Linked DNA regions of Coturnix japonica. The protein of the gene in region 1 binds, or shares a complex with, the protein of each later gene. Links are inferred from orthologs where the notes say so. Each region holds a gene or a part of one and is shown in the gene's direction. Other genes may lie near its edges.

What was found.
Region 2: VDAC1 (region 1) and PPIF share a complex: the UniProt entries of both Homo sapiens proteins name them as parts of the mitochondrial permeability transition pore complex. The link is inferred for Coturnix japonica from reciprocal best matches to the Homo sapiens genes VDAC1 and PPIF.
Region 3: VDAC1 (region 1) and SPG7 share a complex: the UniProt entries of both Homo sapiens proteins name them as parts of the mitochondrial permeability transition pore complex. The link is inferred for Coturnix japonica from reciprocal best matches to the Homo sapiens genes VDAC1 and SPG7.

Annotation. Positions count from the first base shown.
Region 1 is NC_029528.1:2,137,273-2,141,311, reverse strand, and holds part of VDAC1 (voltage-dependent anion-selective channel protein 1), read left to right. Parts: intron 1-3,153; 5' UTR 3,154-3,156; coding exon 3,157-3,223; intron 3,224-3,797; coding exon 3,798-3,847; intron 3,848-4,039. UniProt on the Homo sapiens protein: Non-selective voltage-gated ion channel that mediates the transport of anions and cations through the mitochondrion outer membrane and plasma membrane.
Region 2 is NC_029521.1:10,018,395-10,022,930, reverse strand, and holds the start of PPIF (peptidyl-prolyl cis-trans isomerase F, mitochondrial), read left to right. Parts: upstream 1-1,626; 5' UTR 1,627-1,683; coding exon 1,684-1,869; intron 1,870-3,028; coding exon 3,029-3,059; intron 3,060-3,986; coding exon 3,987-4,075; intron 4,076-4,536. UniProt on the Homo sapiens protein: PPIase that catalyzes the cis-trans isomerization of proline imidic peptide bonds in oligopeptides and may therefore assist protein folding. Involved in regulation of the mitochondrial permeability transition pore (mPTP).
Region 3 is NC_029526.1:16,690,826-16,694,047, forward strand, and holds part of SPG7 (paraplegin), read left to right. Parts: intron 1-220; coding exon 221-336; intron 337-1,475; coding exon 1,476-1,632; intron 1,633-2,172; coding exon 2,173-2,336; intron 2,337-2,891; coding exon 2,892-2,969; intron 2,970-3,222. UniProt on the Homo sapiens protein: Catalytic component of the m-AAA protease, a protease that plays a key role in proteostasis of inner mitochondrial membrane proteins, and which is essential for axonal and neuron development.

The DNA of each region.
Region 1 (4,039 bases):
CGGAAGATCCTCACGTGGTGATACCAGCATTGGTTGGTGTCACAGCCTGATGCGGTTCCTCCCAGCCCATGTATCATAGAGATGCGTCCCTTGGCATCTGCTGTGCACCAGAGCTGTAGTGCTCATCCTCACGGGCACAGGGAGCAGAAGCATTTAGACCTGTGGGTATCAGTCAAGGAATGCTGCGCAGGTTCAAGTTTATTAGGAAAAATGTGACTAGAGTAACATTAAATCCAGCCTTTTTGTTTTCTTAACCTCAAATCTGATAGACTCCCATTGTCCTGTTGGAAGCTTAATCATCCATTGGTTATATTCTTAATTTTTTTTGAGAGCTCCTCCCCTCGTTTAAGTGTCATGTAGTTGATCAGTCTGTGTAGGGAAGCATCAAGTAAGAGAGTAACCCATCACAGAGACAGACTCACATTTACAAAGGACTCCCTGATGGCTTTTGCTGTCTGCTGGGGCCAAGTTTGCTTTCATCCCCAGACCCACCCTGCAGAGTGAAACTGCCATCTGTGACACTGGGAAATATTTCAGTGCCTTCTGCTGGGCTGCCTTGTGTTCAGAGAAATCTTGGCTGGGGCTGTGGGTGCCTCAGTCACGACTCGCATGGCAGTGTTACCCATTCAAGAACATGGAAATATTTTACTACTTAAACATGTAGTACGTGACCTCCCTGGTCTGCTTTGTGCTGGAGCTGGTATATGTGGTCACTCTGAGATGCTTGCACAATTGGAGAAGGATGAGAGCAATGATTTCATTTCACTCCTACCCTAATCTGAGTTAATGTGCTGAGATCCTACTGGTGAAAAGCAAGGGCACTTGGCCACGGCCATGCCTTGATCCTTTAAGAGTTTGAATCCCCGCTAAGCATGCTTGTCTTCCAACCTGCACTCACACAGGATGTAATCAGTTTTGTTTTCCATCTGTTAAACAAGAGGCTTTGATTAGCCCATGCAAACAGAAATAATTATTTTTCTTCTTGCTGATGATGACAACAGCAGAGTTAACCAGCACGTGCATATTTCATCACCTTTCCCACACTCGCAATTGCAAGCACCTTGTTCTGTGTGTTTTACCTGATTTGCCTTACAACAGGGATTTGGCTTCCAGTATTGTCCCTTAATTATAGTAATTGCCTAAGTGGAGATCTCAGCATCTCCTGCTGTCCCGTGGCAGCCCTGTCTGTGCTGCAGCCTGACCTGGCCTGTCCACCTGGCAAATACAAACGCTCTGCTCAGCCCAACCCAAACTCACAAGGCTTCCAATTTTCGAGGAAATAGTTTGATTTTTATGGAGTGACTCAAAGGGGCTGCTGGTAAAATATGTCTGATAGATGCCAATGTGCAGCTGGAGGAGCAGTGTGGTCTGATTGTCCAATGGAGAGATTGTAGCATTCTGAATTTTTGATGATGCTAAATGGAAATACCCATCAGAGGGTTCTCCTGAGACCGGGCTGCTCTGGCTGGGAAGATGCATTCCTCAGCCTTAGTGACCCATCCCTCCATATCCTGTGCTGGGGGCCCTATTAATTCCACTGAGCTCTGCCCCAGGCTGTGATCTCCAGCTCGTGGTGCTGTGCTCTTGGGGACCTCAGTTGAGGAGCAGAGGATCTCCTCAGAGATGTTTTTAAGTACTTGGTTTGTTCATTGGTGGATTTCTAAAGGATGGTTTTGTGTTTCCAGAATCACACCTGATCCGCTGTTGAGATGGTTTGTCCTGTAGAGAGCAGTGCTTGCAAACTTTAAATCCCAGCATTCACAATTCTGTAAGAAATGGAGACATTTAGGCCTGATGTGATCCAAAGATCAGTGATGCAGTGGCACAGCTGGCTGGGGGTTGGGAGGTGGGAGTCCCCAACCCTGGTGGTGTTCCAGAGCTGTGGGGATGTGGCACTGGGGGACACAGTGGGGTGGGGTTGGACTCAGTCACCTTGGAAGTCCTTTCCAACCTTAATGATTCTGTGATTCCACGCAGGTAATGTCCCCAGCTGAAGCTGCACTGCAGCGTGCACTTTGCTTTCAGTGCGTTCTGTGAACATCGTTGGCTTTGATTCAGCCACCAGATCCAGTTTGTTCCCTCCAGGATAGGGATTCCTCGCTTATGCAATAGCAATATCCTGCTTCAACAGGCAACGGCTTGTTGGGCCAAGCAGCTGCCCAAAGGAATGCCTATCTGCAGCTCGTGGGGTGGTACCTGCCCAAAGAGGCTGCAGGCTGTGGCAAGGCTGCGTCCCTGGTGCTCACAGCCGGCTGCTCTGCTTGTGGCTGAAGGGAAGAGCTTGCTGCTTAGGTTGGCTGGAGCTGTGCTGCAGTGAGAGCCAGCTCTACATGTGTGGTTCATCTTCACATTTATAAAATGAAGTCTTGCATAAAAAGGCAGGAGGTGGACATCTTATCACTTCACTTTGCATCCCTAGAACAAATGAATATGGGTTTGGATGGTTTGTTCCTCTCAGGATCACGTGTAGCATCCATTCAGTCCTCGTTCTTCTCAACAAGTTTGTTTTTTCCCTAGAAAAGCACCTCCAGGTCAATGGCTAAAGAGAAATTGTATCTGTTCACAGCAATTCTGGAGTCAAAGAAAATGGAAGGTGAAGGATGCCCGTTTGTTGAGTTTGCTAACATCAATGTTAGCCATTTGCTGCTGTCAGTTAGGGACGGGTGGGAGCTGCAGCTGCTGGATGTCTGTGCTGGTTACATTCGCTGAGCAGATGACCTTGGGGTTCTAATTCCTTGCATCAGAATGCATAGATCGGTTGCAAGAAATGGGAGAAATGTTTCCTAGAAGTTGATTAAAAAGTTATTCATTCATGTGGTTCTAGTGATAAGGGCACAGCTGGTAACCCTTTGGAAAGGCATGGGCAACTTATGTGGGTTTTGGGGGTTCTTTTTAATGTATTTGTTCTGTAGTGTTTAGTGTTTCTCATCCTCAGTGGTAAATGCGTGTTTATCACATAGCAAAAGGACAAACTCAAACCTCAGCATTTGCTGTAGCTGCTTTCTTCAGCCTGTACTTAATTGATGGGTTTAGATAGAAAATAAAACCATCTGAAACTGAGGAATTTGGTTTAATTGCTTTTTGCTTAATCAAATTAAATAAACAGCTTTCTGAACATAGTAACTGTGCCCTCTTTTTTTCCTTCCCCCCCAGAAAATGGCTGTTCCACCTGCTTATGCTGATCTGGGCAAGTCTGCCAGAGATGTGTTCACCAAAGGATATGGTAAATAAAGCCAAATTAAGTTTCACCTTTCTCTGATTCTTGAAACTGTTACGATTTTGTTACTTTTCTCTGATAAATATTCCACTAATTTCCATTAGAATCCAAGGGTTCCCATATCCTACCTTCACATTGCCATGGCTGCCTGCAAAGGGAGGTGACTTATTCTTGCTGGCACAAAGATCTTCGTGTTCCCCGTAGGTCTGTTGTCTGCTTTGAAAGCAAACAGAGTGTTGTATTTTGGCTGCTTCCATCCATCGTGAATAGGACTATTGATGTCAGTAATTTCCTAGGGAAAAAGCTGCTGCTCACTATGAATGAAGGCATTCTTACCTAGGCTGCTCCTGGTGCTGTGGCAGGGCAGCAGGATCACTGCAGGCAGTGCTGTCTGAAGGCAGTGTGAGCTGTGTAAGCTGCTGCTTTACAACTTGGGATTCAGCACCCGTGTTGTGCTTTTTGTTATGTTTTATTTTGTTTTAATAGTTGGCAGCAGATTTAGAAAGGAGCTTTGAGGAGTAAATCAGGCGTGCTTTTCAAATTAACCTATATATAATTCATGTTTTCTTTCATCTTCTAGGTTTTGGGTTAATAAAACTAGATTTGAAAACAAAATCTGAGAATGGACTGGTAAGTGTGGGCAGGGACTGAAATCCCAAACACGGCAGTGTTCCTATGTCTGCCCTGTATTCCTTTTTAAAAATAGAAGTGTGTCTTCCTTGATCTCCCCATATCAGCTTTCAGTTATACTATAGCCCTGCAGGCTGCCATGCCTTTATGGTGCAGCTCTGCGCAGGATTTGGAGCAGGCTCTGCAGGGATG
Region 2 (4,536 bases), on another chromosome or scaffold:
TCAAGCAGTCAGGTGGTGCATGAGCACCATACAACCCCCCTATACGTTATGCAAGGTGGCTGAGTAATGAATTCCAGGTAAGCAAGGTCACTCCTAATGTCCGAAAGGAAAATGCTAATCACAGCTGTAAGGAGTGTGAGAGGATTGAGGTTTTTCTTGTATGACAATTTGTCAGTAATTAGTATGAAGTCATGTGGGGAAACTCACCCTTCATGTACATGGTGTGCTGCAGAGAAATTCACATTTCCTAAAATGAAACCTTGATCAGGGGAAACATTTCTAATCTATACATGTAACTGAGTGGTTACTCTTTACCCTTCATTCACTTGTATGATCTAATTTCTCATTGCAATCACTCAGTATAATGGAAGGGTCTTTCACTATCTCTCCTGCTCTCATGATCCAGGTTGGTCTTTTGGCAGATTTTTTAAGGCACTTTTTTCCACCTTTCTTGGAAAATGACTCCTCTGTAACTCCCAAGTTCTTGAAGTTGGGACAAGTTTCTGTACAAGTTTCAATTCACTGATTGTGCAGAGGTAGAACATCATGACAGGTGGTTTAGTGGCTTTGTTCCATAAGCCTGGAAATAATAATTTAGCCCATCTTCTCAAGTAGAATACTGCTGTGAAAGAAAGCATGTTGTTTTGCTTCTCACAAAGCAGTAAGTGTGGGGGAATGCATTGCTTGGCCTACTCAAGATACCCGATAACTGAGCAAAACAGTTCAGAGTGTGAAATGAAGGCAATGCTTTCTGTTGCTTATCTTCTGTCTTGTTTATTAAATAATGAGCCCTTTAGGGTCAGAACTCTCTTCTTATAGGAACACACAAAACCTAACACCTAAGTGCTCATTTTGGTTTGTGCTTCTGGTGGCTATTTTCCAAAATGGGCTTGTGGCAGAGAGGATAAAAGGCGACTAGACATGCATGCTGACTGGGCCACTGTTAAACAAATCCACAGTAAATCACCTTAAGGCAGCTGGTACTCGTACAAAAACCAGGAGACTATGTGCAGTTTCATATGCAGCTCTTCCCTGTGTGCCAGCAATGCATCCTTTCCTGATCAGGGCTGCAGGAAACCATCCCCTACACAGCTGCTCCTGTCACTGCCCTGGTGCTGCAGTGAATCTGTTGCTGCCTCATCAACAGCGTTCAGCCTGTGATGGCACAGACACTTGGGAATCTTGGGGACAGGTTTATTGTTTTTGTCTGTTATAGATACAGATCATGGATACATTTTCTAAAGCTCATATTGCATCTATCATTTCCCTCCATAATCTCCATTAAAGCCCACGGCACTGAACACAGTGACTATGGGCACATCCGAGAGTCCTGCAAGTCGCTGCAAGGGCTTTTCAGCCGTCTGTTCTGTGCGCTCACGGCAGGGCGCAATGCACGGCTTCCTGAGGTGAGCGACACTGATTAAATCGTCTTCAGCCATTGTTCTCATTGATACCAGAAACCTTAATCGGGACTGCAATTCCACCGAGCATCTCAAGCAGCACCAGCCGCCCAGCAGCGCCTCCTCCTCGCCCGTTCTCGATCACAGCCCGATGCCGGATGATCCCACGGCGGCTGCGCGAGTGCAGCCAATAGCCGCGGCGGCCCCAGCGGCGCTGCCGAGCCGATAAAAGGCGGTGGAGGGGCCGCCGTGTTCGTACGGCTGTGCTGGGACTCGTGCGTCGATGCTGGTGTTGAGCGCCGCCCGCCGCCTGCTGCGCCCGCCCGGGGAGCTGCTGCCGTCGGGGCTCTCCTGCATGCGGGCGGCCGGAGCCCGCGGCTGCAGCTCGGATGGAGCGGGTCCGCGCAACCCGCTGGTGTACCTGGACGTGGGCGCCGACAACCAGCCGCTGGGGCGCGTCGTGCTGGAGGTAGGTAGGGCAGGGAAAGCGGTGGAGGGCCGGCATGGCGGGCCGCAAGGTCACGGGAGGGCGGGGAGGTGATGGGAGCTGGGAGTACAGGGAGGAGCTGAGTGGCGGTTTGCAATCAGGGTGGGCAGCTGCTCCGGGCTCCGCTTTCACTCGGGAGCGCCCGTCTGTCGCCACCGAGGCGGATCGCGATGCCCGCCCCGTGTCTCTGCTGCCGCTTCACACCGGTCATTGCGCTGGGTTCTCCGTGTGGTTCCGCCCCGTCTCGGTTCTCCCTGTTAAGCCAGCGGCCGGCATCCGCTTGACGTGCTGCAGCGGGCAACTGCTGCATAGCAGAGTGAAGAGGCTGCGTGCCCGAGGACGATCCAGGGGCACAACCGGCCTTGGCCGTGCAGTGAGCGTGGGGTGGCTTTGCCCCCTGTGTCCTTATGTACTTACACATGTCTGTGTGGTTCATAAGGATATTTCCAAAATGATTTTATGTTCGGCTGGAGCTTCTTCATCCTGGGAAATGTCGGTATATATGTTAATTGCACTCTTACATTTGGGATGGTCAGAGGTTAAAGTCCTGCTGGGCAAGTTGCTTCTGTAACGTTCAGTGAATGTCTAGGTGATATTACATGCCCTGAATGCCATCTTTATCTGATGTTGCTTTTTCTAGATGGCGTATAGTGCTTGTCTTTAGGATTAGTGAAAAGCAGTGTAGCAGTCACAATCAGAAGTTCCTGCTTGTGGTGGCTGTGGATATGATGACATGAGTCAGTTTTGATACACAGTTTCTGTTCTTCTTTTTTCCTTTCTGTAAGGTTTCACAGATTGCCCTGTGCTAGTGAGAGCTTATTGCTCTGGTTATACTAGTGGGGCTTTTGTCCCTGCTGTCTGTCATAGGTTCCCCCTGATGTTTCAGTGTTTTCAGGGCTGTGTTCAGATATTGCTTAGATCAGTTATCATTAACTTGACCAAATCTGCAGAAGAAAGGATGCTGTTCACTAGTGACCATTACTTGCCCACACTGGGCAAACATTAGATTTTTGGGTGGCTTGTGATTTCCAACAGCTCATTTTTGGGTAAAAGGGTTTAGATGAACCAGCCTGTCACACAGAGGTTTTTCTGTGTATATCTAGACAAGCCAGCTAATTTCTGTTTTATTTTTCTCTTACAGCTGAAAGCCGATGTTGTTCCAAAGACAGCAGGTAAGGCAGCACCTTGTGATTTTCATACTTGAAGTGGGAAGAAGAATAATGTTCTGTGCTTCATGGAAACCATTTCCATCATCCTTTTCCAGCTGTTAAATAGAAAAATATGCACTGAACTTTATCAGGTGGTGCTGTGAGTGGGGTTATAGTCTACTGCTATTTCAAATGGTCTTTCTGCAATTACAAAATCAAACAGTACACTCCATGTTAGGCCAACACTGGTAAGTAAATAAGTTTCGAGACAAATTGCTTCCCATTGAAAATTAAACCACAAAAGAAATAGGAAAGGCAAGTGTAGGAGATGGTATCCCTTGCATTTGGATTCTCAGGCAGCATACGTGAGTTTGTCTTCCTTGCCACTAACTGGCTGTAGAATGGCTTGGGTTGAAAGCAGCCTCAGGGATCATCAAATTCCAACCCCCCACCACAGGCAGGGTTGCCAACTGCTGGGTCAACTATCCACGTGTGCTAGATCAGTGTGTCCATGTTGCAAAGTTTGTGTGCTTTTCCAGGTGCTTCCTGCCTTGTCTGCTTATTTCATGGTTCTAAAAAATGTGTGTTCTTTCAGTTCCCCATGGGTGAATTGTTGAAGGAAAGGTGTCATCTGCACAATTAATGTAGAGAGCAAAGGCATAAGATGCAAAAAATGAAACCTTTAATTTCACAGTGATGGGGCTTAGGACTATGATTAAGATACAGCAGTAAATAAAAGAGCAGTGTGGGGAGAGGGCATGTTTGTACTGTGCTCTGAGGCAGACTTCAGGCTTTGTATCTGTAGCTATAGAGCAGAGGATTTGAGGATGAAAGCGGTCATTTCAATAATACTGTCTTTTTTGGTTCATGAACTTTGGCCTAGTTAACTGTGTTTGAGTCTATGATATATCATGTATGGGGAAGATAATGTTTTATGTTTTGTTTTTCTAGAGAACTTTAGAGCACTTTGTACTGGTGAAAAAGGATTTGGTTATAAAGGATCCACCTTTCACAGAGTTATTCCTTCATTTATGTGCCAGGTAATGTTTACCATTTGGTTTTACTTCTGCTAATGTTGTCTGTATGCTCTTGATGTAGTTTTAGAACCAGTGATACCAGTAGTAACATTTTAAGTGCCTCTGCTCTCACTTTTGCTTCCTGCATTTCTGATCTTGCTGTGGCAGCTGCTTGGCGCGTTTTGTACAAATAGATGCAAATTCTGTATAGATTAGTTTTAAAAGAGAAAAAGCAACTTTGGCATAAGGCTCTGTGCTTTTATAGGAGTGTACTGAAGGTGGGGCACACTTGGTGACTGGCACTTGTTTGGGTGAACTGTTTATGGGTAGAATGACAAGCAGTCTTACCTCTGAAGCCAGCTCAGAAAATAGTGTGTCTAATTTCAGTGGCTTAATTTGTTCAGCAAACATTGTGATTCTGGGGAAAAAATAGGGAGGGGATGATGGAGTGGAAAGCGTTGGGATAAATTTGGGAGGGTAGCACA
Region 3 (3,222 bases), on another chromosome or scaffold:
TCTGGCACAGCTGGGGGCGGAACAGGGCTTTGCATTCTAGAGCTGTGATTCAACTGAGAGCTTGAAATTATTTGTGCAGTGATTAAGCCTGTTCTAAAGAGGAGAGGAGGAAAAGGCTGACAGCGCTGGCTTGTGCAGCAAGCTGTACAGGGTTATGTCCTGCTGCTTACACCTATTGCCCACTTATTGTCTGATCCCATCCCTGCCTGTGTTTTGATAGGCACTGCCAAAAGAAATAAAATCTTGTCACCCGAAGAGAGGAAGGTGGTGGCGTTCCACGAGTCGGGCCACGCGCTGGTTGGCTGGTTGCTGGAGCACACGGAGGCAGTGATGAAGGTAATGGTGGCACCAGCTGCTGCATCACGTTGTGTGTTGTTGGGTGGTAAGAGAATTCTTTGGGCTGCTGCTGCCCAGGGCGTGCTGGTTATTTTATAGCGCTTGAATTTAATCTTACTGTGTTCTGTGGTCTTGGAGCTGTAAACACAACAGCAACTTATAGTGCAAATACACTGTCAAGAAAAACAGGTTCATGTGATGATAGCGGTGGTCCAAAGCTGATTAATCAGCCACAGGGGAACTCTGGCATTTAAAATCTGACTGTAAAGCGCTCCCAGTGTCTGCTGGTTACCCAGTTGCTGGGCACATCGGGAGCAACTGAATCTTCTGGTGCTGCTGCTCAGTTCGTGCACTTGCTCCAAGCACAAAGCGCTGCTCTGTGTGCGTGTGTGCGTGCGTGATCTCTTTCTCTGCTGTGGTTTGCCAGCGTGTTGCAGCTACCAGTCAGGCCGTTAGAGAAACTGCTCTGATACTAATCGAAAGAGATGTGTTATTCAGATTGGCACGCCTAGGAGTTTGCCTGCCTGAAGCCCTTCTCTGTAAGGAAGGGCCCCCCTTTGGCACCCCAGGGTGTGTTCTGTCCCATGCACGTCCCCTCAAAGAGCCCTGACACAGGGGAGAGGTGGAGGGGTGGAAATGACAAGAATGACAGCTTCTTGGCCTACCACCAGCAGCAAATTCACTCTGAATGACCTATTGTATAAGCTGAACTGTTGTTAATTACTCTCCACAAAATGTGGCTGCATTTATAATGGGTGAGAGAATTGGGTCTTATTTTTCTGTAGACATCCTGTATGTTTGTTAGGTAGTCCCCGTGATTTTGGAACGTGGTTAAGTAAACTTCAACTGGCTTACATCCTCCAAAGCCACTCTTAAGTCCCAAGATTTCACTGGCCTGCTGTTCAGGGTAACTTCCTTCTTAATTCTTCTTCTAAAAGTGAGGAAAGCTTCTCTGCAGCTGTGAAGGCAGAGCCTTCAGTATGGGAATGGCAACTGCAGTTTGTGCCTGTGTAGGTTAGTGAGCAAGCCCCACTGCTTTTAACAAACATTCCTGGGAGGGCGGACCTCTTTGTGTTCTCTGCTGCTGTAGCTGAGAGCTCTTTTGTTCTCCAAACTGATGGAGCTGCTCTGTTTTGCAGGTTTCCATAGCCCCTCGAACAAATGCAGCTCTTGGATTTGCTCAGATCCTTCCAAGAGAGCAATACCTCTTCACCAGGGAGCAGCTGCTAGAGAGGATGTGCATGGCACTTGGAGGGAGAGTGTCTGAAGCCATCACATTTAACAAAGTCACCACAGGTGAGAGGACAGACCCTGACACGAGCAAGGGGAGGTCGTACTAAGAGTCTGAACTTTCATACTTGTTGCTCTGTCCAAGAGTAATGTGAAATGGGGGTTTCCCATCATTGGGAATGGGAAGGAGAAATTTCACAGTGCTTGTTTTAATCTCGGACTTGGGACTGTGAGCGTGAAGGCCTCTTATTGTGGATTCCAACTGTGTAGTCTCAGACTTGTCCCAAAGCCTGAGGCTACAGATGCAATTACACAGTGAGACTCTTGGCAGGTGGAAGAGCCTGGAGATTTCTGTGCCTTAGTTCCAACCATTTATAGCTAAACAGGATAAGAGTGGAGCAGTGGCAGGTAAGCAGTCCATATGAGCTAGCTACCAGTATATCACTCATTGTCCTGCAATGCACACAGTGAGGTAAAGTGCTCACATTCATGGATTCCTGCAGGTCCTCTAATCTCTTGACTGGTGGATTGTGTGTCTGTGCTGGACATACTCCTCTTGCTCTCATCTCAGACCTGCTGTACCTTCCTTCTGTCTGTCTCGCCCAGGAGCGCAGGATGACCTGAAGAGGGTGACCAAGATAGCCTACTCCATGGTGAAGCAGTATGGGATGGTGCCCAGCATCGGGCAGATCTCCTTTCCGGATGGGGACAGCACTGTTGGAATTGGCCGTCGCCCTTTCAGCCAGAGCCTTCAGCAGATGATGGACCACGTAAGGCTGCTCCTGGTCACCTGTTCCTCTTTGTTCTTTACTTTCTGTCCTCATTGAAAATTGCATGGAACTTGTACCCAAATGCTTTGCATTTTCTTTTTTGTTCAGCCATTAAGTAGTAAAATTCAACAACTGAGCACTGAGATACTCTGTTAGCCTGGTACTGTTCTGTGTATGAGGACTGCTCAGCGAGGCATTAAGAACAAAGTCACACACAGCTGTGAGTTCAGCCCAGCAGCACTGCGCTGCCTGGAGCTGCCGTGAGTGGTTGTGAAATACAGTCTGTTCTATCCATTGCAGTGTGAAAGCTGCAGTCTTGATTCTTTTGTGGACAAGACCCTGGAGAGCTTGTGGGAGGTATAGATGTGACTTGGAAAGGGGGAGAAATGCTCTGCAGAGTGGGGAGAAAGAATAACTTGAAGGAGATGGAGCTGGGGGGGGAGCATTGTTATGGAACTGAGGACAGATAACCAGGGAAGGAAAGGTTCTGCTGTGTGGAGGTCTCTCCTCCTTTTTTGTCCACTTGCAATACAAATCTCTCTTCTTATCTTCTAGGAAGCAAAAGTGCTGGTGGCTCAGGCCTACAGACGCACGGAAAAACTCCTATTGGACAACCGAGATAAGTTGCAAACGGTAAGCTGAAGTTAGGTGGAGTTCCTTCAACTGTTGGTTTTGGCCTTGATACTTTCTGTGCTCTGTAGCTTGGTTGTAGCAGTGTCTCTGTGGTCCTAGAATGCCTTGTAATGGGGATTCCAGGGCTTGTTTTGGGACTGCTGAATTGGTAGACTGGTGCTTTCCAGGTACCTCCAGGCAATTTTCACCTGCCAGCTCCTTGATACTCAATATATGAAGGAGGCCTTATTGCAGAAGTAGAGCTTTGTCTCCT